4 linked regions of the Oreochromis niloticus genome follow. The protein of the gene in region 4 purifies or fractionates together with the protein of the main gene of each other region. This does not show direct contact. Links are inferred from orthologs where the notes say so. Each region holds a gene or a part of one and is shown on either strand. Other genes may lie near its edges.

Evidence for each region.
Region 1: the proteins of tsen2 (region 4) and tsen34 purify together in Homo sapiens (affinity purification with mass spectrometry; 3 studies listed by BioGRID and IntAct, counting the BioPlex papers as one, with this or other methods). This does not show direct contact. The link is inferred for Oreochromis niloticus from reciprocal best matches to the Homo sapiens genes TSEN2 and TSEN34.
Region 2: the proteins of tsen2 (region 4) and tsen15 purify together in Homo sapiens (affinity purification with mass spectrometry; 4 studies listed by BioGRID and IntAct, counting the BioPlex papers as one, with this or other methods). This does not show direct contact. The link is inferred for Oreochromis niloticus from reciprocal best matches to the Homo sapiens genes TSEN2 and TSEN15.
Region 3: the proteins of tsen2 (region 4) and clp1 purify together in Homo sapiens (affinity purification with mass spectrometry; 3 studies listed by BioGRID and IntAct, counting the BioPlex papers as one, with this or other methods). This does not show direct contact. The link is inferred for Oreochromis niloticus from reciprocal best matches to the Homo sapiens genes TSEN2 and CLP1.

What each region holds. Positions count from the first base shown.
Region 1 is NC_031979.2:39,751,927-39,760,162, forward strand, and holds the start of tsen34 (tRNA-splicing endonuclease subunit Sen34), read left to right. Parts: upstream 1-5,146; 5' UTR 5,147-7,350; intron 7,351-7,610; exon of another isoform or gene 7,611-7,917; intron 7,918-8,172; exon of another isoform or gene 8,173-8,236. UniProt on the Homo sapiens protein: Constitutes one of the two catalytic subunit of the tRNA-splicing endonuclease complex, a complex responsible for identification and cleavage of the splice sites in pre-tRNA. It cleaves pre-tRNA at the 5'- and 3'-splice sites to release the intron.
Region 2 is NC_031982.2:10,347,797-10,355,729, forward strand, and holds tsen15 (tRNA-splicing endonuclease subunit Sen15), read left to right. Parts: upstream 1-5,056; 5' UTR 5,057-5,210; coding exon 5,211-5,273; intron 5,274-5,360; coding exon 5,361-5,442; intron 5,443-5,603; coding exon 5,604-5,739; intron 5,740-5,835; coding exon 5,836-6,007; 3' UTR 6,008-7,031; downstream 7,032-7,933. UniProt on the Homo sapiens protein: Non-catalytic subunit of the tRNA-splicing endonuclease complex, a complex responsible for identification and cleavage of the splice sites in pre-tRNA. It cleaves pre-tRNA at the 5' and 3' splice sites to release the intron.
Region 3 is NC_031966.2:22,597,279-22,605,202, reverse strand, and holds the start of clp1 (polyribonucleotide 5'-hydroxyl-kinase Clp1), read left to right. Parts: upstream 1-4,520; 5' UTR 4,521-4,691; intron 4,692-5,539; 5' UTR 5,540-5,589; coding exon 5,590-5,862; intron 5,863-6,007; coding exon 6,008-6,115; intron 6,116-6,207; coding exon 6,208-6,327; intron 6,328-7,924. UniProt on the Homo sapiens protein: Polynucleotide kinase that can phosphorylate the 5'-hydroxyl groups of double-stranded RNA (dsRNA), single-stranded RNA (ssRNA), double-stranded DNA (dsDNA) and double-stranded DNA:RNA hybrids. dsRNA is phosphorylated more efficiently than dsDNA, and the RNA component of a DNA:RNA hybrid is phosphorylated more efficiently than the DNA component.
Region 4 is NC_031970.2:1,298,132-1,306,034, reverse strand, and holds the start of tsen2 (tRNA-splicing endonuclease subunit Sen2), read left to right. Parts: upstream 1-4,525; 5' UTR 4,526-4,724; coding exon 4,725-4,889; intron 4,890-7,903. Other genes in the region: MKRN2 opposite strand protein, read left to right, coding at 101-332.

The sequences.
Region 1 (8,236 bases), on a different chromosome or scaffold from region 4:
CTTTCACATTAGAGCCACAACAGGACCCACTAGAACATGGGAAAAAGTAAAAGTGAAATATAAGAATATTCTACAGAATGGTAATATTTATCACTTATATTGCTTTTAGTCTATGACAAGAGACCCTGGAATAATCTGTTTGTTTGTTTATAACAGCAACCAAGAAAAGGGCAGAGCAAATAAAGACAGGTGGTGGTCCTGCACCCCCTCGTCACACCCCTTTTTGTACTGTGACATTTATTGACATTGTGGGGTTTTTTGTGTGTAGTTTGACATAACACTCCATCACTTTTACCTGTTCCCATGCAAGGGGTGACTGAAGCATGCACAGTAAGTCGGGAGTAAGTATATACAGTACAGTAAGTATATATATATATAGAGAGAGAGAGAGGAAGAAAGTAAATAATACCCTGACGGGAGAATCGATATCTCTCTATGAGCACACCGTCGCGCTGAGCTAAAGGATCCTGTCTATCCCGCAATATACGCTAAATTCTGTAAACTCTCCTTATCAATCTTGCACCTTCCTTGCTCGCGTACAAACGGACAGGACATGGCTGCGACAGACTTCCCAAATCCACCTTCGCTTTTATAGCCGTGGTCTCTCATCTTGATTGCACGTAGTAATTTACTATTACTACTCTAAAATATGAATTACATCTGAAATAATCAAATACATGAAATAGAATGATTAATAGTACATTTCCCTTTTTTTCGGAAATGACCTGTATGTATCTGTATGAAATCAATAAAAGAATCAAATGCTGCATTATCTTTAGTTACATTGATAATATTTATTTATGGTAAAACAGTGGCGAAATATCGCTGTTGCTTTCATATAACTGCAGCGGACATACCTGAGTGGCCGCGATCTAATCCTGTTTACATAAAGTAAGCCTGCTCCCGAGCAGGTTTACGCTTACGCATCTGTTGCTATGACCGCAAGTCCCAGATGAGCTTCGGAGAACCGAACGATCCAAGATCACGCGAAATCGTCAACATTCAAATCCGGCTAACTTACTTAGCGAGGTACGAAGAACGGGCCCCTGGACACAGTGATAAGACATGAAGTACTGAAACCCGTCATACATGGAGCTAGGAATGCAGGGATCATTTTTTCAACACTGAACATGTTTGTAGCAGCCTACACGCTGAATTTTATAATGTAACTGTAGGTATAGGTGTAGATGGGCCACCACCCATGGGGCGAATGTTTGAGGTCAACACATTGCTGTGCCGTCTGGGAAACATCAGCACGTTTCTGCAGCGCAGCTAACTCACAGCTACTTGCTAATGCTATCTCAAGAACATTAGCACAAGCTGAAAAGCTAACATTAGCTTGATGAACACTGTGGTCTTCACTGACTCTGAGCTCTGTTTGCAGGTTTCACTGACTGTTTTTCTTTTTTCTTTTTGTTGTCCAGCAACAGCTGCCTGCTCTCCTGTTTACCTGTGCTGCTATTCACGACCTCACCTGCCTGACCTCTGACCCTGGCCCAGCGCCTCAGCCTACAGACGCAGGTCCAGGACTCGCTGTGATTGGACTTGGATCGGTCTGTGCTGGTTCTCAGTAACCTCACTGAACCCAGACACCCAGGATTTTAGGAGAAACCACCAATTACATGACCTCACAGTGCCTTGTCACCCCACCCACCAGCCAGTCAGCAGGAGGTCAAGGAGGGCGGGGTTTATCATTCAGGACGTTTGTGTTCCTGCAGACTGTTGAAATGTTCAGGAAACACAGAAAGAGCGTTCAGCAGCTCGTGACCATCTGTGTCACGTTTCAGGAGGTCAGAGAAGCTCCCAACCTGATTTCACTGCCGGAGGAGGAGCCAGAACAGATGGAGCCAGAACATCACTGTAGGTTTGAGTGTCTGAGCATCAGAACGTGAAGACTCTCATCACAAGCCGTGTCAGTCGCTGTCCGAGGTGTATCTCCGCTTTGAAACTCGTCAGTGACCCAGGTCCAGTCTGCAGGACTGAGGTGCCCACCTGTGAGCCGGCAGCAGACCAATCACAGTGTCCTCTGGTCTCTGACACGTTTAACCCTTTAATGACTTTACTTCAGGCTGCTGAGCAGGAACTCTGTGACTTCATCAGAAAAGTGTGGACACCTGAGGGGGAAGGGGCTGCGTTACCCGGGTAACAGCAACTGTAGCAGGTCAGATATTTATGTCTTGTATGAAGTGATCTGTGGAGTCCAGGAAGTATCCTTAAGAAGCGTCGTGATGAGGAGATGCTGGAGGAGGGGTCATGTGCCCTTCAGGCCTGCGTTTGTGTGGATTCTTCTTCTGTGGTTTTAGAGAAGCCTTAAGCTCTGCCTCTCTGGGGGCGCAGCATCATGTTTCATATCGTTCTTATCTGTCCCGCGTGCTTATTTTAACACAAACTTATCAGACATGACAGGACCTCCTCCTGCCTGCAGACACTCACCTCAGCCCTGTGACATCACAGGAGTCTGGTGTTTACCTGAATCCAAACGAGCCTTAAACGTACCCTCGGCCCTGCCGTTTCAGCTGGACGCTGCCCCGCCACTGCGATCTGATGATGTCAGCTGCTGTAAATGTTTTGTTGAGAAGCGCAGACGTGTCGGGTTAATAAAGCAGCTCTCTGTCTGTAGTCCTGCTGTCTGTCTCTCTGTCACAAACACAGCTCCAGGTTCAAAGTTACAAACTCAGCGGAGTTTTGTTTCTGTCAAAGGTGATGCGAGACAAGACGCCAACACAAGGCCTGAGGACAGGACGTGTGTGTGTGTGAGGACAGGACGTGTGTGTGTGTGAGGACAGGACGTGTGTGTGTGTGTGAGGAGAGGTGAAACGACAGTTTGAATCTATTCAATTGAGTTTTATTTATATAGCGCCAAATCACAACAGCAGTCGCCTCAAGGTGCTTTATATAGAGATCGACAGACCACGTGACTTTCGCGCGTTGCTTTGTGGGTACCCGTGGCAACAAAATCAAAACACTGCATCAGGCGCTAGTATTTCCAGCGCCGGTAATCATTAATTCTGCAGTTTTAATCCCTACTTGCATTTTATTTGCCCCAAAAACAGTTATGTACAAAACGAGGGAGAACACAGCAGGTCCGTACAAAGACAGACTTGACGAAAAGGCAAAAAAAAAGGACGAGGAAAAAATCAAAGGAGTGAAAGGGTCAGACCCGTACGAGCGTACAGAGCGGAGTAAGGACGTTAGCGTGCTGCCCAACTTTCATCACACACATATTTATTATTATATGGTCCTAAGTGTGAGTGCAGACACTCACAAGATGTTTAGTAACTTCAGATCCCTGCAACAAGCCCAGGTCCAGTTTACTTTGGTGATTTGGACTATTCCATTTCACAGCTGCTGTTACATTTTTTTCCTTTATCTCCTGTACAGGCAAACGCATCTATTTGTCGTTTCAGGTTGTAGTATTACACAACATTTTCAGATCTAATAGAAATAACATAAGTGTTTCATAATTCATTCAATTTATTATCTTTATTTATAACTGGCATTATTGTTTCATTCTATTATAGAATCTTACAAGAAAGAGGCAAAATTGTAAAAATCCATCATGCTTTATTAGCTGCTTCAGTGAAAAACAAATCAACAATGCAAAAAAAAAAAAAACAACATTGGAAAACAACATTGGAAAACAGTTATTCATCACTTGATTGCTTCAATACAACCCTTGGGCACATATATGCGGGACGTTTCGTGGCTGTTTTGATGTCGCTCTCTCTCTTAACCGATCAAATCTGGCTGTGGTAGCAGCTTTAAACTCGGTCTGACCCAGGGTGATAGAGGTGCCCAGTCTGGATCGCATTCCAGCATTTTGTAGGCTGGTTTTCCTACAAAACACAACAAACATTAGCCCGCAAAGCCACAGTGAACAAAGCAGCATAGCGCAACGTATTCAATCCAAATCAATATAAGACTTATTTGTAACCTACATCAACAATTATGTGATGATAAATTACGTAATACTACAACAGAAGACGTACCTTTGTGGAAATGCTTGGAGCAGACTAACATGTGAGCTGGAGTGTTCTGGGACGTTATATTTGGTCTTCGAATGGCTGCAATCCAGGTCATCCGTCGCCTCTTTGTTACTTCGGAAACATGGCTTGAACAATTTCTCTTCCACGACGTAATCCGATAAAAACCGATCTCTTTACCCGTCGGCTTCCCGTAGCTGTCATGTGACCGGCTATTGCAGTTAATAATACAACAGCTTCTTGCCATTCTTTGTGTTTCTTTTTATCGCTGTGTGACTGTTTTCATGTGAAAGCCTGCGCTAGTATGGCTTGCCACTCATTCCCAAAATCCTTTGCGGTTTTACCCCGGAATGACGTCACATTTTCAATCTCTATTGTACAGTAGATCCTACAATAATACATACAGAGAAAAACCCAACAATCATATGACCCCCTATGAGCAAGCACTTTGGCGACAGTGGGAAGGAAAAACTCCCTTTTAACAGGAAGAAACCTCCGGCAGAACCAGGCTCAGCGAGGGGCGGGGCCATCTGCTGCGACCGGTTGGGGTGAAAGAAGGAAGACAGGATAAAGACATGCTGTGGAAGAGAGACAGAGATTAATAACAGATATGATTCGATGCAGAGAGGTCTGTTAACACATAGTGAGTGAGAAAGGTGACTGGAAAGGAAAAACTCAATGCATCATGGGAATCCCCGGCAGCCTACGTCTATTGCAGCATAACTAAGGGAGGATTCAGGGTCACCTGGTCCAGCCCTAACTATATGCTTTAGCAAAAAGGAAAGTTTGAAGCCTAATCTTGAAAGTAGAGATAGTGTCTGTCTCCCGAATCCAAACTGGAAGCTGGCTCCAGGTGACCCGGGTCACATGACCTGGACCTGAGTCCGTCGGTGCATCTTTGTGCTCATCATGGCAGCTGCAGCTGCTTCATGTGATGTATGGTTACGTGTCCAGTGGTGACGTCTGGCTGGAAACTTCGCTGAACCCTAATGAGCACCTCAGAACCAATCACAGACCTCCATTCACAGCATTTAGTTTTGTTTGCTTTTAAATAAAACTCGGAGCTGCTGCAGGTGAGTCGCTCTGATCGAACACTCGAAAGGAAACAAGACATCATCGGAGGCCAATTCTGACCAATCATGTCAGAGTCGCTCAGCGGAGGAGCTGTGTGTGCGTGTGTGTGCGTGCGGTTCATCCACAGCAGCAATCCCAGCGACAGCTCAGGCATCATGTTCTCTGTCATACGTGTGCTGTTCCTGCCTGTATGTATATGAGCCGGCCATCATCACCAGTTCTTTGATAGAATGTAATAAAAATCACTCAGAACTCAGACGTGTGGAAAAATGGTGTGTGTGTTGGATGTAGATGCTGATGTTCCTTCTGTGGTCGGGATTAGAAGCTGCACCGCTTCCGTCCATCCAACAGTTACCAGTTTGGGACTCACAGTAACGTTTGCTCCCAGCAGCACAGCAAAGCCGATCGTCAGGTTTGTGAGACAGAAGGAAAGAAAAGCAAAGACGCTGTGTCTCATTTATCGAGAGCATCCGCCACAGGACCGCACACGTCTTTGAAACACTACAAACATCCCAGTTTACTGAAGCAGCATCTGATCCACGAGGTTAGCATCATATTTGAGCAGAAGTTCAGTCAAAGTAAAGCCGACAGCCGCTCCTCAGGTCATGGTCTCCTCCTCTAGGTGGCGCTGGAAATTGTGTTCAGTATCACTAAGTGATTAAAGTGGGCCAGGCGACCTCGGTCCAGCTCCCTGATCCTCTGTTCAGTTTGCTGATGGTTTTACACACACGAGCTCCACCATGAGGGCAGCTCATCGTTTATACAGGCAGGTCCACAGGTATTTGGACGCAGACGGTTTTCTAATGTTGGACCTGAAACTGAATCTTCCAGGAAACAGATGCAGGTGAAGTGCAGACGTTCAGCTTTAACTCAGTGAGTTAAACACAGACTGCAGAAAACTGTGAGGAGCTACAGACTTCCTAACACAACGCCGTCATTTCAGGGCTCTAAGGTAACTGAAGATAAGTGAAAATAAAACGTTCATTTTTAACACTTGGTTGCAAACCCTCTCCCGACACTGACAGCTCATGGACGTCACCACGTGCTGCTTTGCTCTTTAATGCGCTGCCACCTTTACTGCAGCGGCTCAAAGCTGCTGTTTGTTTGTGGACATTTCTGTCTTCAACCAGTGAAATGCTCGGTGGCTTCATCGGTCTCTCCTGCACCGACACAAACCATCTGCTTCATTAAGATGAAATAAAGTTGTTTAGTCAACGATAATCTTTGTTGTATAACTGCACAACTTTCATACCAACATGATTTGTGTGTTTGTCACCTCATGTTAAAATAACACCAAGTGTTTGTTTACATTTACACCTGTTATATTGACTTTATGTTAAACTGATATCATGATTTTATCAGAAGAATTATTTATTCTGTCAAGCTGCTGTTTAACATGTTTGCAGTGAATGGATTTTCTACATGCTCTAAGAAACACCTTAAAAACAGTAAGACAATAAACACAAACACTTCTTTAACCAGTTATCTGTGTGTCCAGCTGCACTTGAACTTAGTGTCTAATAAACTGAAAAACAGCAGCAGGTGTCCCAGAGTTTACCAAAGGACAGCCCGGTGTCCTCTGGTTGGTCACTGTCGTGCCCTCAGTGGATCCTTGGGTGTGAAACGAGTGTTTCTGCATCAAAGCCAAGCTGAGGAACATTAGGCTGTGTCAGAGTCTGGGCGGCAGTAGTGACACGTCCACAGGACTCCATCCACTGAAGAGGAGTTCAGCAGTTTCCAAGCATCGGATCCAAAAGCCGAAGCTTGAGGTTGGTGTTGTCGACGCGGCGTCTGTGTGGAGTCCATCTCTGACGACTGATGTCTTCAAGGATCAGACATCAGGTGTGTTTATCAGATCAAAACATGTGTTACATACTGCCGCCATCATCATCATCATCATCATCACAGAGCATTTTTATAACCACCAAAAACTGTGATTTAACCCTCTGGAGTCCACGGACGCACCAGCGCGTCCAAACGACCTATGACCCATCATGACCGTTTGCTGTTCTCTGTTCGTGGTCTGTGTTCATTTTTACTTCTTACGCTGTTCGACTAAAAACACTTTCAGAGGAAAGAGCAGGGAGCTCACGTGACCCGGCAGTTGCGCTGCTTCTTCCGGTCTGAGCGCTCGTGTTTCCGGTCCGCCCTCCTGCCGTCTGTGGAGGACAGCGACAGCCGCAGCAGTTTACGGCAGGTCGGGACCGGGCGCGTGCAGCAGGCGCTCCCTCGAGAGCTCGGTGATCGGATCAGCTGACGGACCGGAGAGCCGGAGTGAGCCTCGGATCGGACCGTAAGTGCGCATGCTCAGGCTGCTGGCTCCTCTGCTGTTTGTCGGCTCGGGGACTGTCACTACAGTCTGGGCCCATCAGGGGTTGGAGTCCAGTCCTCGAGGGCCTGAAACCTTTACAGGTGTCCCTGCTGCAGCACACCTGAGTAACATCAGCAGGTCATTAGCAACACCTGACTGCACGCTCAGCCCCGAACCCTCCTCAAGTGTTAGTGTTTGGGAAATGCCCCACGTTCACGCGTGACATGATGATCGTCATGTTACTCAGGTGTGCTGCAGTAGGGACACCTGTAAAGGTTTCCTCGAGGAGTTTGTGACTTAATTGATGTTGACACAATCAGCAGACGATACAAGTTTCGGGCCAAATTTCATTTAGCTATTAAAACACTTCACGTCTCCTACAGAGCAGCAGGTCTCTGTCTTCACATCAATAAATGTGAGATCTCATTGTTCGGTATCGTTCTCACTAAAGACCAACAAAGACGAGGCTCATTAAACTTCAGTTTCAGTCGGTGCTCATTGAGCTCGGTCTCTGAGAGGCTTCAGTACTCATGCAGCGGGCATCTCCAGGTGAGCTGTAGAGCTGGGAATGGATCCTTGACTCTTCAGCTGTGGAAGAATCAAACTCATTTTATAAAGAAATCTTCAATGATTAACTCTTATGAGAACGCTGCTCTGACTTCCTTCCTCCTCTCTAAACAACACATTTATTATTACTCAGCTTCCTACAAGCATGTGTGATGTCATTCCTCTTCATATCCTGTCTAAAACTGGAGCTTTCATTTCTTTGTCTGTAATTCTGATGTTGTTGAAACTGTGATGAAGAGGTCAGAGCTCTGTTCCAGGAGGATCCTGTTCCTAAGCACATGCAGTCTTCTTCTGGAATCGC
Region 2 (7,933 bases), on a different chromosome or scaffold from region 4:
GGTCCTAATTTGGTTTGTTCTGTGGCCCATTTAAGGTGGTGTTAACTCGCCTAAAAAGATTTTAAATATTATATTTTAACTAGTATCCAACTAACTCTTAAGTTGCCTTTCACGCTAAAATGATATTATGAGCAACCCTCACTTTAGGGGAAAAACAGGCTCACTACCCAGTTTAATAGGTACACTTTGCAAATCTCCTTTTCTTTCATTCTCCCTTAATTATTTGTAGCATAGAATCAACAAGGTGCTGGAAACATTCCCCAGAGATTTTGGTCCATATTGTCTTGCTCCCCTCATCCCAAACTGTTTGGGACAGATGCCCTGCCCGACCCTGGTTCTGCTGGCGGTTACTTCCTGTTAAGAGTGTTTTTCCTGTTGCCAAGTGCTTGACCAGAGATGGTCGTTTGATTGTTGGGTTTTCTCTGTATTATTGTAGGATCTTTACCTTACAATATAAAACACCTTGAAATGACCTCTGTTGTGATTTTGCGCTATATGAATTGAATAGAACTGAATTGAGCTGCAGATTTGTTGGCTGCATATCTGTGATGAAAGTCTCCTGGTTCACCACATCCCAAAGGTGCTCTAATGGACTGAGGTTTGTTAACCGTCGGGGATATTTGAATGCGGTGAACTCGACTCAAGATTGTTCAAGAAACAAGTTTGAGAGTATTTATGACATTCTGTTCCAGCAGAAGATGGAAACACCGTGGCCATAAAGGGATGGATTTTTGGCAAGTAGGCTGTGGTGTTCATACAAGGCACAGTTTGTACCCCGAAGTATGCCAAGAAAATATCACCAGCCTGAATTGTTGATACAAGACGTGATGCATCCATGCTTTTGTGTTGGTTATGCCAAAAGCTACTATCCAAATATCACAGCACAAATTGACACTCAACACACAACGCAATGTTTTTCTAATTTTTATCCAATTTTGGTGAGTCTGTGTAATTTTCAGCCTCAATTTTTTGTTCTCGGCTGACAGGAGTGACAACTGCTGTGGTCTTCTGCTGCTGTTGCCCATCAAGGTTCAATGTGCTGTGCTTTCAGAGATGCTCTCTCGCAGACTTGAACAAATGCTTGTTTGAGTTAATGTTACCTTCTTATCAGCTCAAAGCCATTCTCTTCCGACCTCTAGCATCAATGAGGCATTTTCGCTGGGCAAACTGCAGCTCACTGGATATTTTCTTCTTCTCTGTAAACCATAGAGATGGTTGTGTGGGGAAAATCCCGGCCGATTAGCGGTTTGTGAAATACTCAGACAGACCATCCAGCACCAGCAACTATGCCATGTTCAAAGTCATCTAAGTCACCTTTCCTCCCCATTCTGATGCTCACTTTGAATATATCATAACTCCATCTACATACACAGACCTACATACAGTCCATGTATTGTATACAAACTCGTGCACATTTGTAATTACAGAATGTTTTTTTTCAGGTTATTCAGCAGATTTGTTAAACCTTTATCTTTATGATATAAATAAACTGCAACACAACACAAATGTAGCAATAACTTCTCAAAAACTATGATGCTAAAACTACTTTCCACTACACTTAAAATCATAGCTTAATATGCTAATAGGCATGCTAATCAATGAGTTAATAACAGTAGTATATGACTGTAGTATTTCCCTGAAGGTTTTCAAAGCATGTCATACTTTATGAAATGTCAACCATTTCAATGAGCAGAAACCTCAATTAAAGGTCATAGTTCGGGTGGCTTTAAGCAAAGCACTGTTACCTCCCGTGACTCAGTGCTTTAGCTAACATGGCATTTGAACGTGGTATTAAATGTGGTGTTACTGTCAGCAGAGGAGTTGTAGTATCTGATCAAGGACTCCTTCTTGTCTCTAACAGAGCTTTTTCTCTTGAATTGGCATAGTTCATTTCAATAATGCATTTTCATAGTGTTGCCACCATGAAAAAAAAAATCTGCTTCCTTTAACTACTGATTTTATATTTAATGGCCTTATAACAGACTTCTATAACACAGCATCTATAACAGATATGTTTCTTGCCATGATCTAATAAAACTAACGGACTGTCATTACTACAGTTATCACACCAGATTAAATAAAACAGAAAATAATAGACTTGGAATTCATGTTTTAATAAAGATACTTCTCTCCCTATAAGTGGATATTTACATAGCATGAAATGAAACTATGATGCTATATATTATCACTATCCCATAATTAGAGCCCCACACAAATATAGGTTGGGCCAGGTTACTGACTCCATAATGTACAATGCACTCAGCACTCAGCACTTTTGCAGCAGAGGACACGTCACACCTGAACACACAGAGTTTGGTGCGTTCACAGTAAGTTTCAAATCAGTTTGTGAAGTACATGATTGTAAAGATAGTTTAAAAAAAAAAAAAAAGTCCCATTGTTTCCTTTTCCATTATAGCTCTAACAGATGTTGAATGTAGGTTATATATAGTCTCTCAGTTTCTGTCAGCGTCAACCTTAAAAAGTTTTCTGCATTCATAAGTCCACCAATTTTAACAAGGTCTCCAACAGTACTGGCTGAAACGCAGCTCTAAACCATGACAGACCCTCCACCGTGTTTTACAGACGGCTGTAGACACCCACTGTTGTAGCTCTCTCCTGGCCTCCTCGATACATAATGACAATGGTTTCAACCAAAACTTGTAAATTTAGAGTAATCTCTCCATCACACCTGTTCCCACTGATTTCCAGACCAGTTATTGTGCAATTTGGCATACCTCGGCCTTTTTCCCTGTTTTCCTTCCTTAAGAATGACTTCTTGACAGCCACTCTTCTACATTGCCATATGTTCCTGCATGTTAACTCTGAGGAGCACTTCCAGGCATTTATCACTTAAACTTGGCTGGATGTTTAATCATGGCTACACACAATGTATTGTTCCTAAACAAACTTTATTTTGGAAAAACTGATACACTATTATTTGCCAGTCTTGAGGTGTGGAAGCCAGGATTACTAGGAAGTCCTCAAACAACTTCTGACTTGACTCTGGATCAGCTGGTCTGTTTATATAATTATGGCTGTTAAACGTTTTCTTTTTTCTTTTCTAGTCCCCATTTTAAAAAGTATTCACACCGACACTCCAGGAGGTTTGTACACAAATATTATTTTTCTTGATATCTAAAGCTGGGACTAGACAGCGTTTCATCTCAGAAGAAAAATCACACACCACACGGGAAAGGAAATGAGTAGAGTTAAATGGGGCCTCAGCCCAGGCAGCGAGTTCAACATGACACATGTAAACATCCTCAGAGTTCATATCTCTCTCTGTGTGTGTGTGTGTGTGTGTGTGTGTGTGTGTGTGTGTGTGTGTGTGTGTGTGTGTGTGTGCATGGATGGGGTGCAAGAACGGCACACCTATTGCAGTTTTTGCTGCACCACCTAGAGGGCGACAACAGCCATCATCAATTTAAGTCCTTCCTGTTCACTATAGATAAGTTGTTTTTAACAATGAAAGTCCTCAGTGCACAGTTTAAGTCTGCACATGCTTCCAGATGTTGCAGTGTCAGAGGAAGCAGACAACCTCATCTATAGTCACAGTCTGAATGTCTATAGCCACAGCCTACAGCTGAGAGGAGGACTGTGAAAAATGCAAGCAAGCAAATACATTTTTCAAAACATATTTTAATGGCTTTTCCAGCACACAAATGATCATAACAGAATTATCTCAAAAGATTCTTATACTATGAATCTGCATTTCTCAGATTCATAGGCTCTTCACTACCTACAAGAAGGCCGAACTTTCCAGCAGTATGACAATATGCACTAGAACTTCTCAAGCTTCACCTTCCAGCCAGTGATTGAGCTCTGTGCTCCTCTGGAACTTAACTCATCAGCACCCAGTTTCAAACTGTCAGTAAAACTTCCAACTGGTACCAGTTTCATCAGAGTCCAGAAATCTTGTGGGCATTTTTACTATTATGGATAAAATATTATGAGATTTTCAAATGTCACACTTGCCGTTCGCAGCTGTCAGTGTAGCATTAATGCTATGGATGACATCCTCTCCCTTTGGTCTAAGACTGGTTTCAGATTTCAGGCGAATAAATGGCTGGTCAGCAAAATAGTGCATCATAACCGGAAAGCTTTTCCCCAGCCTTAAATGATGTCATTAAATGTTGTTGGATTTTTGTTTTTAAGGTGAAGTATTCGTAGAACTGTAACCTGTGAATTGGACACACAACTGACATTAAACACCGGAATACAGTAAATCTATTTTTTAAGCACAGGTTCTTGGTTTCAGGAGAATTTATTGGGTAGAGGAAAGGGTGAAGAGAGAGCAAGTGACACAGGAGCGATGCATGGGCTCCGACTGCGAAAACAAAAATGACAAAATATGATTCAATAAAAAAGTGATCAAAGACTGAATATAGACTCTGGTTATGGAGTCAATCACATTATGTAGAATTACAGTAATGTCTCTGTCAGTGTGTGGATGAGAGGCTCCAGGTCATTTAACTGAACAATAATGTCTCTAATAGTGTTTGTTGCAGTGGCGCTCATATATCTAAAGATCCCAGGCTTTGCGAGTCTGCAAATTAAACATCGACATTAATGTTACTGTTTATTATTTTTTGATGAGACAATGTCTCGCTAAAATGAATAAAGTCATCAGGCAGCTGTAAATGCAGTTTTGTATTCTTTCTTTCTTTTATATAAGATCAGTTGGTGGAAGCAGTTCATTAGATGTCAGTAAAAAGTAATTATAACGATGCAGGAACTAATTTAGTGCATAGAGTACTGAGCAAAACTCCCGAGTCACCACTCATCTTTTTATATTTTGCAAACATACATAAAATCAAATTAAATTAAATAAAAACTCCTATTTTTTTCAGAGTCTGGAGAAGTATTGTTAGGACCACTTTAAAAATAATAGGAGAGGCAGTCTCCTCGGAAGCAAAATACAAAGAAATGATGTGTGGCTCAAAACCTTTGCCCAGTATTTACCTATAAGTTAATTTTAGGACTAGCATGATGAAAAGAAATGATTGACTTAAAAAAAAAAAAAAAAAAAAAAAAGCCCCCGAAAGGTGATGTCTCCTGTCTGCGTACGTGTTTTGCACGGACAACAAAAACGTTTCCGCACGGACGATTTTAACAGTCGCACTGGGTGACAGCGTGCCGTTTCAACAGCATGGCGTCACGTAGTGGTTATTGAGCCGGTGTTTCGCTTGCAGCTTTGTTTGGTAACGAACATGTCGGGAGCGTCAGGCGGAGAGAAACGCCCTCCTCCGAACTGGATCCTGCAGCATCCCGCGGTGAGTGTTAGAGCAGCTCCGTGTGTGCAGGCAGGGAGTCTGCCCGGAATGTACTGTGAGTAATCTGTGTGTGTGTGTGTCTCTCAGTACCAGCAGATGAAGGACCTGCAGGTTGGGGACAGCGCTCAGGTGCATGCAGCTTTTCTTGTGTACATGGATCTTACTGAGGGTGAGTTTGGCAGGGTTCTGAAACACGGGAGTCAGTTTGAGATTCCCTGTGTGGTGTATCCTGGACTCCTTACATCTCCCAGCTCTTCCTCCTTTCTTACAGAAGGAAAAACTTGATGTCATAACTTAAGCTCATACTCACACTGAGCTTGCTCTCTGCAGTGCGGCGCTGGAAGGAGGTGTCCTGCGTGAAGAGTCCTGAGCTGCAGGTGGTTTTACTGGAAGCGAGGGAGAAGGAAGGCGCACCCACTCTGACGATCCTTCCCCTGCCTGCTCACCAGTCTGTGACTCACAAAAGGTGTTAAGACGCTGGTCAAGCTCCCACACTTTCACCCTCACAGGTTACCCTCCCAAACCTCTGAGTCTTACGGCTTCTTCCTTTTCTGCTGTGCAGCATACGACACGTCCTGGACAGAGGCTTTCCTATGCTGCTGTGTGCAGTAGCCGCTGACTCCACGCTGGTCTACCAGAGGATGACTGACGGCCTGGTGACGCCGGACCCTCCTGTAGGACCTTTTCAGGATGTGGGACGCCGTCAGCACCGGAAGAGACGGCAGCAGCGCTGAGCAGCTGACTGAGAATGTGATGTATTGCTCAAAAATGGAAAACAGCCCCACAGGACCCCTTAAGCGGGAGTATGTGATTGTTAGGACGACCTTGCGGAGACCTTTGGCATCGTGAAGTTCACCTCAGATGCATGTTGATAGGTTAAGGCAAAGAGATAAAATTAACCTTAAGAAAAGGGTGCAGAGATTAGAAGTAACATTCCTTTTTTAATGACAGTTGAACTCCTGTTACAATCTGGAGTGGTGTGGTTTGTTTGCTGCAGTGTATGCACACTACAGAGTTGACTAGAAGCTTTCACAATGAAATCAGGGATGCCATATCTCGTTTCCATGCCTCCATAGAAACCTTTCAATGGGGCCAGATGAGTCTGCATCCACAAAACTTACAGCTACGAAGCCAGTGAATATATATATGATAAATGTGAAAAATTACAGGAAAAGTAGTTCCTGAAAAGGTAGTTCATTACCCAGACTGTCCTGCAATTCTGAAATATAAAGTCTTTGTTAATTTAAGGAAAATGATCTTTGTTTGTTGTAAAACAAAAACAGACATTTCTATAGTAGATTGTAGGAAAACAGGAACTTATCTGTCATTTGTGGTGTGAATGGCAAAGCTGTAACACTAATGAAGATACAGCTAAAAGTTCATAATCTATGCACTCCTTTGATTTTTCCGAAGCTGTCCAGTGGGTTAGATCAGACACTTCATTTCATTATTTTCATTTTGTACCTTTTCTGCATTTGTTCATGAGGGAAATGTCTCTTGTTTGTCTAAAAAGCAACGCAGAAAGTAGACACAAGGGGATAGTGTCTCAAGTCTAATATTTTGGGGGAGGCTGTGTGCACGTGTCCCCCTGAAATTTACGCCTATGGTTTATAATCCATGTCAACACATTGGTTTTTGACATGAATCCCTTAAACACAATTATTAAGACCTATTATAAATGTCAGTGATTGTTTTATTTATTGTAAAAAAACAAATGTGCCTTATTTTGAAATAAACATCAGGTGTGAGAAAGACTAATAGTTCAAAATGTATTCTTTCTTAATTTTTTAAAAAAAAGGACCTAAGGTAAACATTGCTTTATTTTTTAAAAACTTGGTGCCAATGCTGAAGTATGATTTGAGGGATGTTATGAATGTTAAAGGTGTTTTTCCACAGCAGGCATTTTGGCTGGAAATGGTAAGTAAACAGGTGTTACTAAATGCAGAGCTTTGATTAATGTGATTAGTAACACCTGTTTCAAAAATGGCTGCTGACGAAGGTCTGAGTTAGCACGCCAACTAACTCAGCTTGTCGATAAAAGTTGCAAATTGTTTCCCGCTTCAGTTTGTAGACTTTATAAGTACCAAAAAAATCGTTAAAACGTTCTTTTATTAATTTTGGAGTGCAGTGCAGAGATACCTGTGTTGGTGTATATAGTGTGTTTGCCAATAATTCAACAAGCAGAAGTTGTGCTTGCAATCATTTTGAAATTGAGGCCATTAAATTTTGTGTCCACCAGAGAGCACTGATGATATTTTTCAGCACAAAGGATGAAAGATGTCAGCAGTGATATTAAATAAGTAATTATTGCTGCTCATCAATCTGGGAAGAGTTACAAAGCCCTTTAAAACACTTTGATGTCCATCCTCCTCCTGTGAGAAAGATAATGATGCGATCGTCTCAGTAGTGGACATCTCAGTAAACTAAGACCGTGCAATCTCAGACTCTACATCAGTGTCAGCATGTTAAATGTTAAACTTCATGACATCAAAGTTAGAAACAGACGGAGCCATTATGGCCTGTTTGGAAAGGTTATCAGGAGAAGACCTGCTCACTTTGAAAGAACATGCCAGCACAGCTCCATCTGAACAAACACAAGACTTGGGGAACAATGTCCTCCGAACAGATGAAGCCAAAGTGGAGATATTTTTCCACTTTCC
Region 3 (7,924 bases), on a different chromosome or scaffold from region 4:
CCAATCTATCGCAGGGCTAAAATGGAGAAACAGTCAACCATTAATATTCACATTTACACCTACAGCCAATTTAGAATCGCCAGTTAGTCTAATTAACTTAACCCAATGCATGTTTTTGGACTTTGGGAAGAGGCTGAAGACTGCTTGAATCAAAGACTGGACATTCATTCTGCAAAGCAACAGTGGTAACCACCACATCACTGTGTTGCACTTTTGACCTTTTCCTAAATGTAAATCAGCAGGACAGAGATAAACACAAAAACATGTTTAATTTACTCAGGCAGCAACACGCATAACCCTTTAAATCAGGTAACACGCATTCACTGCTTTAACTGTATATGCTTAAGTGTGTCACCATACAAAAAAAACATGTTCCTGTTCATGTATATATGTATATAGCTACTTACAAAGATAATGAAAGAACACTTTATTGCTGTAGGTGTTTAACAAAAGGTTTGTATTTGCACTTTAAATGCAGTTTTAGTTAAATTACAGTAGTTATATTAACACATTTATGACATTAGAAATAATAACGGTAGATCTTATTTTCATTCATGCTCGGAAAACTTCCCATTAATGGTTTCGTCCAGCCAAACTGAAACCCCCTTCCCAGATATATTGGTACAGTCGACATGCGCGCGCCAAAGTTTTGTAACAGCAATGGCGTCCAAAGCAGGTGGGTGTGTGTTATAGGAATGTAAACAATACCGTGATTTTTTTTCTACAACAAAAGCTGTAACGGAGTTTGTCTCCGGTTGATATACTGAGGAGGAAGAGGGTTGTACCATTTTGATGCAGCGGTTATCATTCCCATGACTGTTTCTGCCTGTCTTTGTAGGTCATTTAGCTGAATGGCTACATGCAGGAGCAAAGTAGTAACTGCGAAGATATGTACATTATTCACTTTCTGAACTCGTTAAATCTAGCAGGAGTCGGCGCGCTGACCTTTCTGACCATGTTTATTATGCAACGACGCATTAAATGGGTCATTATTATTACTATCTGTTGGGTTATGAAACTTCTCAGCCTGCACGTGCCTGAGTCCTCCTCTACTCACTCTCCTCCCACCAAGGGCATGACAGGAGGAGTTGGAGCATTGGGCATTTATAAAACAGAACTCTTTTCTTCATTTTATTATGCTATACATTAAATATGACATGTAGCACAGCTGCATCCGAAATTATTTTGTACTGCTGTATTGTAAGACCTCTAATGTAACGGTGGTAATTGCATCTTTGTGTATTTAGGGCTTCCGTTATTTCAATTCAGTGACCATCTCATGTAACCTAAACAGAAAGAACTAGTTGTTTAAGGAGCTCTTTTCCCACCATGGTTTGTATTTTCCAGCTGTTTAAACCTTTGAAAAGATTACTGTTGGAGCTATGTAGTGGTTCGTTGTTTAATGGTTGTGTTGTTTAGTTCATCTTGAGTCCTGTGACAAACTGGCGATCTGCCCACAGTGTAAACTCCCTGTCGCCCTATTTGAGCTGGGAGTCTCACACCCAGCTGCAATCCTGAATTGAATAAGCAGAAGAAGATGGATGGAATGGTGGATGGATGATTGCTTTATTTTGGGCTTTTGTAAGACTCTAGTAAGGCCAAAGACACCTCAGGCTAAATAAGTAGGTGGGCGGGCATAGGACCAGCATGCACCAGGGAGGGCCTATGGTTTTATTTAACCATGGCAAAGGAAGCAACAGGAGCCAGCTGCTTGCAAAGGATCAAGTAAATCGATGAACTGCATGTATTTTTTCTTTTGGGAAATTGACTTCTTTTTTCTTCTACATACTTTACTTGCACATTGTGCATCACTGGCCTTTTGATTGTGAATTTTGAATTTCACTTTTCGACAAGCTGCCACTACAGATACACCCTTGAGTCCTGAAATGTAGCTTCTTGTGCAGGCTACTCTCTTCTCTGTCCTATTGATGTTTTTAGAAATTTTCCATTCAGTATTGTGCGGTCTGATTGAATTCTGGGTCATGGTCAAAAGGACAGAGGATAAATGAGATATGGAGACACAAATTCAAGAAATAGCCAAACACAAAACTACACATGTGTGTTTTTAGGTCGTGGTGGGAAGAAGCGCAAAGCAGAAGTTCAGGTAGAGGAGGAGAAACCTTCAGTGGAGGAAAAGAAGGGCAGAGGAGACGATGAAAGCAGCCAGGAAGGCCTCAGGGTGGTCATTGAACACTGGTATTTTTTTTTAATCACATTATAATCAGTGGTGAAGGAAATGCTAATTGCTTTTATGTAAAGTGAGTAAATATAGCCGTTGTTTTAAAATACTTAATCACAAATAAAAATCCAAGTGTTTAAGTATCAGAGGTGAATGTATTGATTAGGTGGAAAAAAAACAATGGTTCTCATGAAATCTGTTTATATTATTATTAAACCAGAAGCAAAATGGATAACATCACAGTTCACTTTGTAACTCAACTATTTAAATCTGCAACAAGGTGTAATCTTGATGTCTCACTTCTGGCAGTAAAAGCTGACGAGTGTACGGGCGTAATGCTGAGGAGGTGAAATCCGCCCTCCTGGCTGCCTGCCCTGAACTGACTGTGGTCCTCAACCCTGAGAAACCTCGCAGGAACAGCTTCGAGATCACTCTGCAGGACGGGGGCAAAGGTAAACACGCTTACTCAGCAATATGGATCCTTCAGTGTAAAATAATGATACAAATGACACTTTCTTCCCGATTCCTAAAGAAACATCTCTGTGGACTGGAATAAAGAAGGGCCCACCTCGTAAGCTGAAGTTTCCACAGCCTGAAGTGGTAGTTTCTGCTCTGCAGGAGGCTCTGAAGGCTTAGACACCCAGTGAAGGTTTGGCAAAGCAGTTTGACTGAATAATGAATGCATAAAACAAACAGATACAAAATAAGAAAATGCAACTTTACTTTTTCTTCACATTAAACTGCTAACTTATGTAGCCCTGTAAAGAGAATCAAGTCAAAATGTCTTCAGTATGAATTGTAATGCAGCTATTCAGTGAACAACAGTTGCGTACAAGTGTCTTTTTAACAAAACGTTTCCCATATTATTTGCAGCCCAGCATTCTGGAGATGCAGCCAGTGGAAGCAAAAATGACGAGAAGTGACCAAGGAGATGTTCTCAGTCCCTCCTCTGATGAGCCATGCTCTAACTGCTGCCATCTTCTGGGTGCACGGTGACACCTAGTGGAGCTTAGCTGAGCCAAAGCATTTCTCTGACACATTACTGCTGTTTACTGTTGTTTCACAAAAGTTCAGTAGTGGTTTTATGTCTGTTTTGTTTTTTGAGAAATAAAATCTTTTTTTGGTAATTGTGTGTATTTTGTTATAAGTCTATCCAAACACTCATCTGTTTTATGGAAAGTTTTTCTTATTTAAATTCAGGAAGTGTGGAGAAGAAAACTAGAGATGCATTTTGTGTGTTGAACTCTTGGCAAATAAAGTAAATTTTACTAATTGAAATGGTTAATAGTTTTAAACAGCTGACAAAGTACCTTGTAGCATATTTCAGAAGGTTGTCTAATTGCATTAACCCAAGCAGTGCCCTTAATTAGTAATTTGAGGGCTCTGGTAGTGTTATGCAAAAAAGTAATTGCCAAAACGTGATTGCAAATATTTGCTAAAAATGGTTGCAGGTATTTAAACAGTTTTAAAACACTTGTTGGACTTTAGAAATTAGTATATCAGAAGAACAGTTGAGGTTGAGCAGATTGGAGACAAAGTTAAAGAGGAAAGGCTGAGATGGTTTGAACATGTGAAATGGGTACATTGGATAAAGTATGTTCAATCTGGAATTTCCAAGCAGGAGGAAAGAGCAAGACCACAGAGAAGGTAGTGAAGGAAGACATGCAGAGGATTTGCGTGACCATGGAGAATGCTAGGGATAGAGTGAGATAGAGACACAATCCGTTGTGGCGAAATGAAAGAAGATTTGTTAATCTGTGTAATCTATTATCTGTCAAGCGTCTCTTGTGTGAATGAAATCAAGCCATCCCAAATCCCCCACCCCAATTTTTTAATAGAACTTTATTAAGCAACAGTATACAGAGAGTGTATACAAATTGAAACATAATTAACATATGCCAGGGGGTGTAATGTAAAACGTTACATACATTCAGATAATTTTTAATTAGTACAAATAATAATTGTTTTTATAGCCTTTTTATTAAGTGAACCACTAATCAATTTTATGTAAGATAGACTATCATTATAGTACTGTTTAAAATTAGGTTGTATTTGCATTTGTGGAAATAAAATTTAGCTAAGATAACTAACAGGTTTATTATAAAGTATACATCCTCATTTTTTGCCTTCGAAAGAAACAAAATACAGAATTTTCCCATTTCATAGTAAAGTTCTTGTAGAAAAACATTCCTGTCACAAAGTAGATGCTATAATGAATTTTGTGTCACACGTGCAAAACTAATATAAACACGTCGCGTTGTGAGGACGTCACACAATGACACCCAAAAAGTGATCGTCTGCTAAGTGTTTGCGAAATTTTGTTTTGTTTTTTATATCAATATAAGCAAGGATAGCAGACACACAAAAAGGATTCAAAGTCTTCCGTTTTTGGCAAACGAACATTTTGTTTTAATAGTTGCCAGGATGTGACGTCATTATCACGCGACCAGACACTTCAACGGTTCCTCATGAGCACGGGACCGATTTCTTTCTACAACAAGTCTTGAAATTGGTGCGTAACTTTTATATATTACAAATTATTACGTTTTAGACTTTTGCTTGACGTTGCGAGAATTATCTAACGGGTTTGTAAGCAGTCATTCGACCTTTGCTAGTCTTAGAAAGGTCGAATTACCCCCGGTGGCTCCGCTAGCTGGTTTGTTGATTTAACTGGTTTCCCTCTTAACTTTATTTGAACCTATCATTGTCCGTAATCAGGTGTGTTTTTGCAATTTGGCTTATCAGGTAGCCAAGATTAATCCCACCGCCGTGGTTTTAGGACAAAATCACTGAAGTGTCCTTCCATTTCAAATTATCGTGGGCCTTCTGCTGGACTACATCGAGTTGCATAAAAATCTTACGGTCCAAAGTTTTGTTATATTATATTATTGCTGTGAACTTATAGTCTCATATATAGAAAACCCTTTTCAAAGAATTAATATGTGAAAATATATGGACCAACTTTGGACCATAAAACTTTCAGGGAAATCGAAAATGGTCAAGCAGAAAATGTTCAAAAAATGTCGTGATCTGACATTGAATAATCCTGCCGGAAAACACCGAGCACAATATTTAAACAATTGGATCTGTTACTCTGTGTGGTCAAGTTTATCCTTTATGCATACAATGTTCAAACACCAAATTTAAAATAATGTGAAGGGTAATGCTAGAGTTAAAATTAGTGTTATTAAAAAGTTATGGGACTTCAGTAGTTAGCTTGTGACTTTAATTTGTAAATACTTAATAAACATCTGTGTTAACACACTTTCCTTTAAGCATTGCTTTATTAGAGAAGCTGTGTGTAATGTTTTGTCGTATTACTACTTTATGTATGGTATGCATGTAACTTTTGCTTTTCAGCATGCTACTTCTGCCAAGTTATTGCAACCTGAAGTTTCTTGTTGACAGTCATGGCAACAGAGGGGGTGGAAAAGACGAGTGAAGATGCTCCAGCAGCTGGAAAGGCCAGCACCAGGTATGACCTGGAAAAGGAGACTGAACTTCGCTTTGAGGTGGAGTCGGGGGAAGCAGCTGAACAAGTTGAACTGGAGCTCCTCACAGGAATGGCTGAGGTGTTTGGCTCCGAGCTAAACCGAAACAAAAAGTATACATTTGGACCAGGCTCCAAGATTGCGGTTTTCACTTGGCAAGGCTGCAGTGTGAATCTTTATGGGAAGCCAGAGGTAAGCATGTGGATGGGAATCCTTGCAGATTTGGGAAAGTTCAAATGTGTCTGTTGTGTTACGTTTTGTCACATCATTGTGTGTTTTACTTTGGGTAAAAAAGGCAAAGCCACAAATAACCATCGTCTTGCTGTCACCATCGCAGGTTGCTTATGTGTCCAAGGATACACCCATGCTGCTCTACCTAAACACACATGCAGCCCTTGAACAGATGAGAAAACAAGCAGAGCGTGACAATGAGAGAGGACCAAGGGTACGTTTGACTGGGGAACTACTTCATTCAGGAACTTGTCAGATCCCATGAATACTTCTTGGATTAATACTAAATAATAAATCGACCCTCAGGTGATGGTGGTGGGACCGACAGATGTTGGGAAGTCAACGGTGTGTCGGATGCTTCTCAGCTATGCTGTGAGGGTTGGAAGGAGGCCAACATTCGTGGAACTGGATGTTGGACAGAGCGGGGTAAGATCAAGTGGAATTATCATTATAAATATCAAACAGTTGGCTGGTATTTAGAATATTGCATATTACAGCCTGCAGACTCAGTTTGTCTTGATTTTGTCCAAAGTAATGCTAAAGCATGTACAGCATCTACTTTGTTTATTTAGCTTTATAGCTGTGATGATCCCCCTGTTGATCTGTCCATGTGGCTTTTTCTGTTTTATCAGATTCACAAGTTCTGGAAAAAAATCCTGGTGTCTGTTTTAATATCTGTACAAAGAAAAAGAACATTAGTCTTTCAGTTGTTTACTGTCACTGGTGTTAATTCAAGTTATTGCAATAAACGTCAGAACATAAAGATTTCTGCACAGAATTGAGAGCACTGAATTGCTCCCTTCATTTATTTAAGGGAAAAACTATCCAAACCTTCCTGGCCTTGTGTGAAAAACATATTTGCTCCTTAAATCTAGTGACTGGTTGTGCCATCATTTCCAGGAAAATACTTAGAAAATACTTAGGTTTGTAATAACTGCGAATAACTTTCACATCACTTTGGAGGAATTGTGGATGACTTTTCTTTGCAGAATAGTTTTAATTTATCCACACTGGAGGGTTTCCAAGCATCTCAATTTGATTTAAGTCCAGGCTTTAAGTAAGCCACACCAAAATCTTTAATTCAGAGGTGGACGTGGTGGCATGTTTTGTGTCATTATCCTGCTGCATAAGCTAAGTGCACTTGAACTGATAGACACCCTCCTTCAGGATTTTCTCATAGAGAGCATAGAGGTTCCATGAATTACAGCACCCTAGACTATCATACTACCACCACCATGTTTGACTGCTGATCAAAATAGTTCCAGTTTTTATCTCATTAGTCCACAGGTCTTGGGGATTATTAAGTTGTTTTCTGCCAAATGTGAGATGAGCCTTTGCTTTATTTTTTGTTAGCAGTGGTTTTCTCGTTTGAACTCTCCCATGGAAGTCAGTTTGTTTCACAACTGTTCTTTTAGATCATAGCATAATGTATTGCTTTTAGCCCACTTCACGTTGTCATACAGGATCTGTATTTCTTGATTCAACAGGTCTTGTAGTAATCATACCTGGGTGTGGCTAGTAAAATTGAGCTCAGCTTTCCAGAAAATGTGGTTAATCATAGTTAGTGATTCAGTTTATGATTCAATAAGGGAGCAGATTACTTTTTCACACAGGTAAGTTTAGATAGCTTTTTTTCCCTTAATAAATGAAATCATCATTTAAGTGGTTTTTTTTTTTGTTGTTTGTTTGTTTGTTTTTTGTTTTGTTTTTTTCAATTTACTCAGGTTACCTTAGTCTAATATTAAAATTTGTTTAATCTGAAACATGTAATTGTGACAAATATACCCAAAATTAAGAAATCTGGCAGCGGGAAAATACTTTTTCAACACAGTGTAAATTTAAAAACTGTTAAAATACCAAGTATTTTTTTTAATGAAAATACTAGTTACTAATTGGAACAATAAGGAAATAGGCGTTCGTGCCTTTGTTGGTAATATAGATTATGAAGCAGTTTGGTCAAAGTTTGTAAATTACAGTATGTCTGTTAATAAAGTATCTATTTTATTCATTTGATTACACTCTA
Region 4 (7,903 bases):
TGGTCGCCAGACACAGGTGTGTTCGTCGCCACGGCGCCGTCACCACCATCACCTACAGGTGTAGAAATCTGTCGACAGCTTTTTTCTCTGTGTGTCGCAGGTTCGATGAAAACAACCATAACTGCTTCAGCTTCTGTTTGCACTTCGTGAACGGCGTTCTGGCGGCCGAGGGCCGCGGCACTCTGAGCAGAGACGACTTCACCCACACCTTCATCCTGCCGAGGATGAGGAGGGTGTCCAAATACACCACGCTGTACAGGCACATCCAGAAACACCAGTTCTACACGGTGGATCGACAGCAGCACGCTCAGGGGGCGGAGCCCAGCAGCTAGAGACCAGCCTCACCCACTGTGTCTGTGACCACTTAGTCGGACCCACGACCAGAATGGAGTCCGTGTTAGTGTGTCATCGGTCACATGTGACGCTTCAGTGTCAGACCTGATGTGCAATGAACTCACCTTCACACACACACACACACACACACACACAGCTCTGTTTCATGTAGTGAGCTCAGCTTTGGTTCATGTCTGTGTGTGTGAGGCTGCTCGTCCTCCATCTGACCTTCTTTCTTTAGCGCGTTAGTTAGGGCTGTGCGATATGACCAAAATCTCATATCCCGATATTAAGACATCTATCGTCCGATAACGATATAAATCACAAAAATGTAACATTTTCTGTAAATTCTGTGAATCTCGGGCAGCTCGACTTGCGTGAAGTGTTTCCAGCTGGGCGTCATGGACCTGGAGTCAAGTGTTTTAACTGATGCATGAAACGATACATTTTTAGACATAAGTTGTAACGGCCGCCGTTTTCTTTGTGAGTATTTATTACACAGCGTGCTGCGGGGAAAAGCCTGTTCTAACGTTTGAGTCTAAGGTTTATTTTTTTTAGCACCTGACGGCTCTTTTTTTGCTTCTCATCCGTAAATACTCTGCATCTTTCATGTGATTCAGTTTATTTTGAAAAGTCTCAACAGGATCTTGAGCTTTATTGTGAAAGGTTTATGTGGAAAATAAACAAGCGGACATGCCGTGGTTTTACCGTTGTTGTTGCTAACGACAACCCATAAAAACAGGCGCTTGTCTGTCTGTAGTGTGGTTATATTAAATATAAGAGAAAGACAGAACTTTAAGAAATTCATATAGCCACTACAGTGACCATCAAAATGATGAAAAAATATTGCCGTAAACAGTTTATTTTGCGACACCACGAAACAAACGATAGCGTAAAATGAAACGATAGACGTTTTTATATCGTCATCCGATATATATCGTTATATCAAACAGCCCTAGCGTTAGTTGTGTGAACTTTGACCTTTTGTTGTCCCTGAGCCACACCGAGGGTCTCAGAGGAAATTACAACTTTTATTTTATTCTGAAATAAAGTTTCTTAAATCGCACTTCCTGCAGCTCTCTGCTGTTTCCTGCCGTGGAGCTGCAGGTTTTCACCCTCGGGGGCAGAATGTGGCGGGTGGGTCATCGCCATGACGATTGTAGTGTGTGCAAGAACAGTGATTATTAACACTGATTATAAATCCCAGTTCTTCTATCGGCCCGTGAACGCAGCGTTTCACCTTCATGTGCATTAAAATGTGTAGAGATGGGCAGTAACTTGTAGTAAGTAAGTAATATGTAATCTGAAGTAATCCGATTACTTTTTTCATGTAAGGGATTGAGTAAAGTAAGGGATTACTATTGCAAAAAAGTAATTAGATTACTGTTACCTTCCCGTAAGCACGCTGCATTACTGCAATACTAAACCGTGATTTTGTTTGTTTGTGTCTCATGACAATGACGTACGAGCGTGCGGCTTCAGTGGCAGCAACAGACGTGTGCAGATCAACAATGGAGTGATGGAGAGAGTGTGACCATGCAGCCTTTAAAGCGTGGAAGTACTCACATTACTTTGAGTTTGATTCTGTAAAAAGTGACAGAAACATTAGTGTCCGCTGTGCACTCTGTGTGGGAAGAAAACTTCTTTCTAAATTTGAGCGAGCACCGAGCACGCTGCCACGGGAATGTGACGTTCACAGAGAAAGCCCCGGATCCCCCCACTGACATGACTGCTGTGGGCAAACCTCCACCCGCCCCACTCCTGCTGAACAATAGATTTAAGAGCGACAGGACTCAGTGCTGCTGAATCTGCTGTGTTTTACATGCATCTATTTCAAAGAGTGAGTGTAAACACAAAACATGATTTTATTTTATATGCTGGAATATGCAGAATAGGTATAAATGTTAAACATATTTCTTCAAGTCAATATAATTTAATGTTGTGCATAAAATTAAAAAGATTAAAACAAATAAAACAAGTTTTAAAAAGAGACTTTTTCATTTGATTCCATTGTATATGATGGATTATGCAGAAAAATAGAATTGGGCTGAAAGGTCTGTTGCTTTATTACATATTCAGGTTTGTATCATGTTTTTAAAAAGTAACTAAGTAATAAAGTAACTAATTACTTTTGAAAATAAGTAATCAGCAAAGTAAAGGGATTACTTTCTTGGAGAAGTAATCAGTAAATAGTAACTAATTTCTATTTTCAAGTAACTTGACCAACACTGCCTGTGACTGACCTGTGTTCGACTCTCGGCTGAAGCAGAAGTAAAACTTTGTTTTGGTAACCACGGCTGTGTTACATACACAACACATATTCAGGTATTTATTCAGAAAAAGTTTTATTTGTATCGTTGTTCAAACTCCTGAAGTAACAAATGAGTTTTGCTGCTTTGACTCTGAGCTCTCACATTTACTATGAATGATTTTCACACTTTGAGGTCTCAGGTGTTTCTGTGATTCAGTGCAGACCAATCAAAATGCTATCAGAGCAGGGGCACGGCTAGGCTGGCGTGGAAACCAAAGCCATTTACACATATGTAGGTGTTACATTCTCTAATATGCATCATATATGTACTGTATAGCCTGTTTAATAAATATGTTTGCAGCCCAATAAGTATAAAATCCAGAAAGCTACAAAACATGGTTCAGCTACAAACACAAGTCTAACTTCAGTTTCACTCTTTTTATTACAAATAATCAAGTTAATTTTACACAAAATGTCAGAAATGTGCACGTCATGAAACATTTTTCACCAAAAATTTAAACCTAATTTTTCAGGATTCGTTGGGTTAACCCGCTGGGCTCCAGGATACAACAGCTCATTTTTAACTATGTTTGATTTTATATTTATTACTATTCATTTTTTCTCGCCTTATTTTATTTCCTTTTTCTTTTCAGCACAAGGTCTGAATTCACAGTTAGTTTTTCATTGGCATGCTGTATTAATACAACTCATCTGAAATCACACAAGAACATAAAAACCAAGTAGGAAAAAGTTCATTTTATTTTAAAAACTCGTGCAAAAATTTGATAAACAATAAAGTTATACACAACTTTTGACCTAAAAATGCAGCCAATGCATCTGGTGATTTTTGTATAACCTTTTAAGAATACTACTAAAACTAAAATTAAAGAACAATCAGGTGACACAATAAGATGCCCCACAGTGCAAAAAATAGTTTGTCCACCACAAGACAGAGGAGAACCCCACAGGGATAAACCTGCAGGTCTAACAACAGGAAGTGGATCACTCGTCCTGGAGCCAGCGTTTACACTGCAGTCTGCCTTTGTGACGTTCATTAGTGCCCTCACTGACACACAAAACAAAACAAATGACTACACAACACACTAACTACACACTCCAAACACGAGAAACGTCACAAATCTCTCACAACTTAAGACTCGCTGTCCATATCCCTCTCTCTCTCTCACCACCGTTGCTCCAACACTTCCCCCTCCTCCTAAATGAACCAATCCCACGTGTTGCCATATTTTTATTTTTATTTTTTTGGTACATTGGTGGCTTTTTTTTCCTTTTATTTTTTGTGCTGTCCTTAGAAAACGCATTTTTATGATTAAAAAAAAAGCATCGTGTATATAATTTTTTTAATCATAACTCTGGTTTTAGTAGCCTGTCAATAAAATTTACAAATATATAGTTTGGAGTCTGAACTTTCAACACAAGCTGAAACAGCGACTCAGCGTGGCTGCAGCTTGTAGCTATATCGGCTTAAATCAGTCATGTGATTTGGAGGCGCAGCACACACAGGGTTAATAGCGCTCACCTTCATCATCACACCACCTGTTTGAAATCTGAAATGCCCATGGTGTTGCTCAAAATGTGCTCCGGCACAGATGTGGGCGGGGGTGACACTATACAATATAATATGTGTTACAATTTATATTTAGTGTGAACTTGTAGCTAGGCTTAAAGTGTTAATGCTAACTTATTTTAATAAACAACATTATCACATGCAAAGCCAAGGAGGCAGTAGGGGTGGCAAGAGATTATTTTAGGGTGCTACCTCATGCCACCCCGTAGATCCGCCCCTGTTTCAGAGGCTTTTAGTGGCAGATGGATGGAGTGCATCCACACAGGTGGTGCTGGCAGCGTGAATGGATGAATTCATTACCGAAGGCACAGCTTCCGTTTTTAGCCTGACAGGAAGTGTTCGTCAGATTTAGGATGACACACAGGAGCCCGCAGGGGGCGGTAACGGGTTACGGGAAAAGAAGAAGAAGAACTGGAGGTGGAACTACACGGAGAAGATCGACAGTTCCAGTCGGACACAGATTCGGTGACGCCACAGCAAAACGAACCGCGCGGAGGCTAACAGCTAGCAGTGCCAGACCCGCAGTGCCAGCCCGGTTCGACACCAGGGAGCATGCACGCGGACTTCCGGGCTCCCCGGCGCCGCCTCCGGGTCACGGAGGAGCTCGAGGCTCCGCTGCCGCTCAGCCCGCGCGAGAGGAGTCACTTCCGGGCGGAGCTCCTCAATGAGCACGTGCTGGTCTGTGATCCGGAACACAGCCAGAAGATCCACGACCAGGTCTGACCACACCCACCTCACCCGAGCCCCTCCCATCTTCTACAGAGCTAACAGCCGCGCGTGAGAATCAGAACAGCCTTTTTTTTCTTTTTCTTTTTTTTAACTTTATTAGTAGAATTACACGGGCACAGACGGTCACGGGGTTCGTGTAGCGGCCGTTAGACACAGACTGGGGCTGAAACAACATATCAAACAAGCAGCTTTATGGGAATGTTGTAACATATTGCCTGGTTTGCATTAGAAAATTTGGATTGAGATTTAGCCAGTAAGATTAGTAAATTAATCAAATAAACTTCGTTTGCTTTATTTCCAGGGTCAAAAAAGCCAAACATTATTTTTCCATAACAGAGAGAGCGGTCAGAATAGATCAACGAAACAACAAAGGCACAGAAATCCCACCAGGAAAGATAAAGTAGATAAACAGGACAAAGACACGTGAGCAATCTCTTCATTCTGACAGGAAACAAAATGAACAGTTAACATCAGTCTTTTTTTATATCGTACAAGAAAAGTTCTGGTGGGGTCAAAACGATGAATGATTTTCAAAGATATTTTCTTTACTTTGTTGGTTAACTGGAGTTTCGATGATAAGGTCCAAATTTTCTTCCACTCCAGGTCCCAGTATAATTAGTTATTCCAGTGAGCACTGGCCACTGGGACACAAGTTCTGTCTTTCTGAAACAGAGTTGGTTTGTCACGGGTGTTTTTCTTCTTTAGATAGGGGAAACAGCAGGATCCAGTGGTAGAGGGTCAGATCACTAACAACAGAGTTTCACCAAGTCGCCGGTCCTGGTGTCGAGCGCACAATTTGACGTCACATCTTGTGTTAGCCGTTAGGGTTAGAATCCTGCAGTAAAACCCCATTGCTCACTTTGATAACTACCCTGACGCTCACACTGTCCTCCAATCATAAAGCCGTTAGGACGTCAGTGTTCAACATTCAGACAAGAGGAAGAAGGAAATAAACAGGAGAGTCCTGCCGCAGCGTCCTGCACTTTAATGCTGGATTTAAATACTAGTGTCCATAAAGGTGCCACGACCTCCTTACACTCACCTGTACTTATATCCACGGCTACAGATGGCTGCCAGCACGGCGCTGGCACCCTTACTGATCTGGATTATTGATAATCTAATTGGACTCTACATCCCAGGGTGCCAGTGTGACAGTATAAAGAAGGCGGAGCTTCAGGTAAAGCTGCAGTCTTTCAGACGGCCTCCAGGGGGCGACAGCTGTCAAACCGGTGCTCTGACCTCACTGAGCAATTTGCTGATACACTTATGACTAAATCAGAATCCTTTATTAATAAGAGTAAGAAGAGTAACAGACTGAACTAAATTAAATATATAAATTAAATACAATATATTACAAAGTTACAAAAAATATGAAATAGCACTATATAAACAAATAGCTCAATGATAAATGTCCAGATTATTACAGAGATTAAATATACATGATAGACATTTTTCACTCTAACCTGTAAAACTTTGTCGTTTTCACTGTGGAGGACGTACAAACGCTGTAACTACTCCACCGTGTGCTGTATATTAGGCTGTGTCCCAATTAAGAGACCGCACGCTTGAAGTACGCGCACTACACGTACTACGTACGGTGCGTAATATAAGTACAAGAAGTGCGGAAGTGAGAGGCTTGTGAAATGGGACGGTCTAGCCTTCGTAGCGCTGTTCAGGTTGCCTAGCAACCATGATACTAACCGCGAGAAACGTTACATACAGCTTTGTGTGACATAAATGAAGGAGAAAAAATGTTTTGTTGGTCAATCATTTTTGTCATGACATCACTTTGATTAGTTGAGTATCTGAGGCTGAGACCACAGGACTGTGAAACATGATTGTTGGGCTTCATTTCTGTACTGAACAGTCATTTCAAGATTAGTTAGTAAATAACAATTAGCTAATGTTGTTCATGAGACTAAAATCATCTCACTGTGGTAATGTAAATATAATATGGCCAATATTATATGTATTGTCAGATTATTATGATATGTATATATATATATATATATATATATATATATATATATATATATATATATACATATATATATATATATATATATATACATATATTATTTTTTTAATATATTTTTTTACAGGATATATTACAGCAGTGAGCTTGAACTCTGGGTCAAAGATTCAAGTTGCTGTTATTTATATTACCTATTCCTTAAATCTTCACTCAAAGACAAGTATCTCTGACAGTGTATATACAGATGTATTATATATAAGAGACAAACATTGTTCGTTTAATATGTTGACATTACTAAATTTAGCTCAGTGCTTACATATATGTGGAAAAACAAAATGTACGAGCTGTGATAACTGTGTCTGATAAAATGAAGAGTAGACTGATATATTAAATATTCCTTTATTGGGTGAGAAAATCAGACCATGTCATAACTGCTTTAAGTCATACAGAATAGATATCAGAGCCTTAAACAGGCTGACTTCTGCTAAATGGGTCAAACTGGGCAGAAAGTCTACAAACACATAACATCCTTATAGAATATGATGTAACACTATAGATCAACTTAGCTCAGAATATATAAAGCATATAAACAATTACAGCAATATGACGCAACAAACACAGCAGTGCTACTAATCCAAAATACTCAAAGCTTCATAGAACTGAAACAAACATTTATTTTTAGCTCCATTCTGCTGCTGATACATACTTTAGGTTTCTGAATATTAAACTTGTTGCTGCCTTTCATAGTGTGTAACTTGAAGGCCCTGAGTACTTTCTCCCACACTGAAAACACTGGAATGATAACATTATTTGAACATTACCTAATAAGACTGATTCAGGACAGACAATTAGTTATGTTAAACTTTCCTAGCAGTCCTTCACAAACAGGGAACAGTCTGTCTATTCTCTCCATCTGTCAGCTGCTGCTGGCTCTTCCTCCTCCTCTTCCTCACACACTCCTGAGTTTGTCCTGGTGGATCATCAGGGGTGCAAAGCCTCACAGATGATGTGCAGCAGTGGGTCCCTC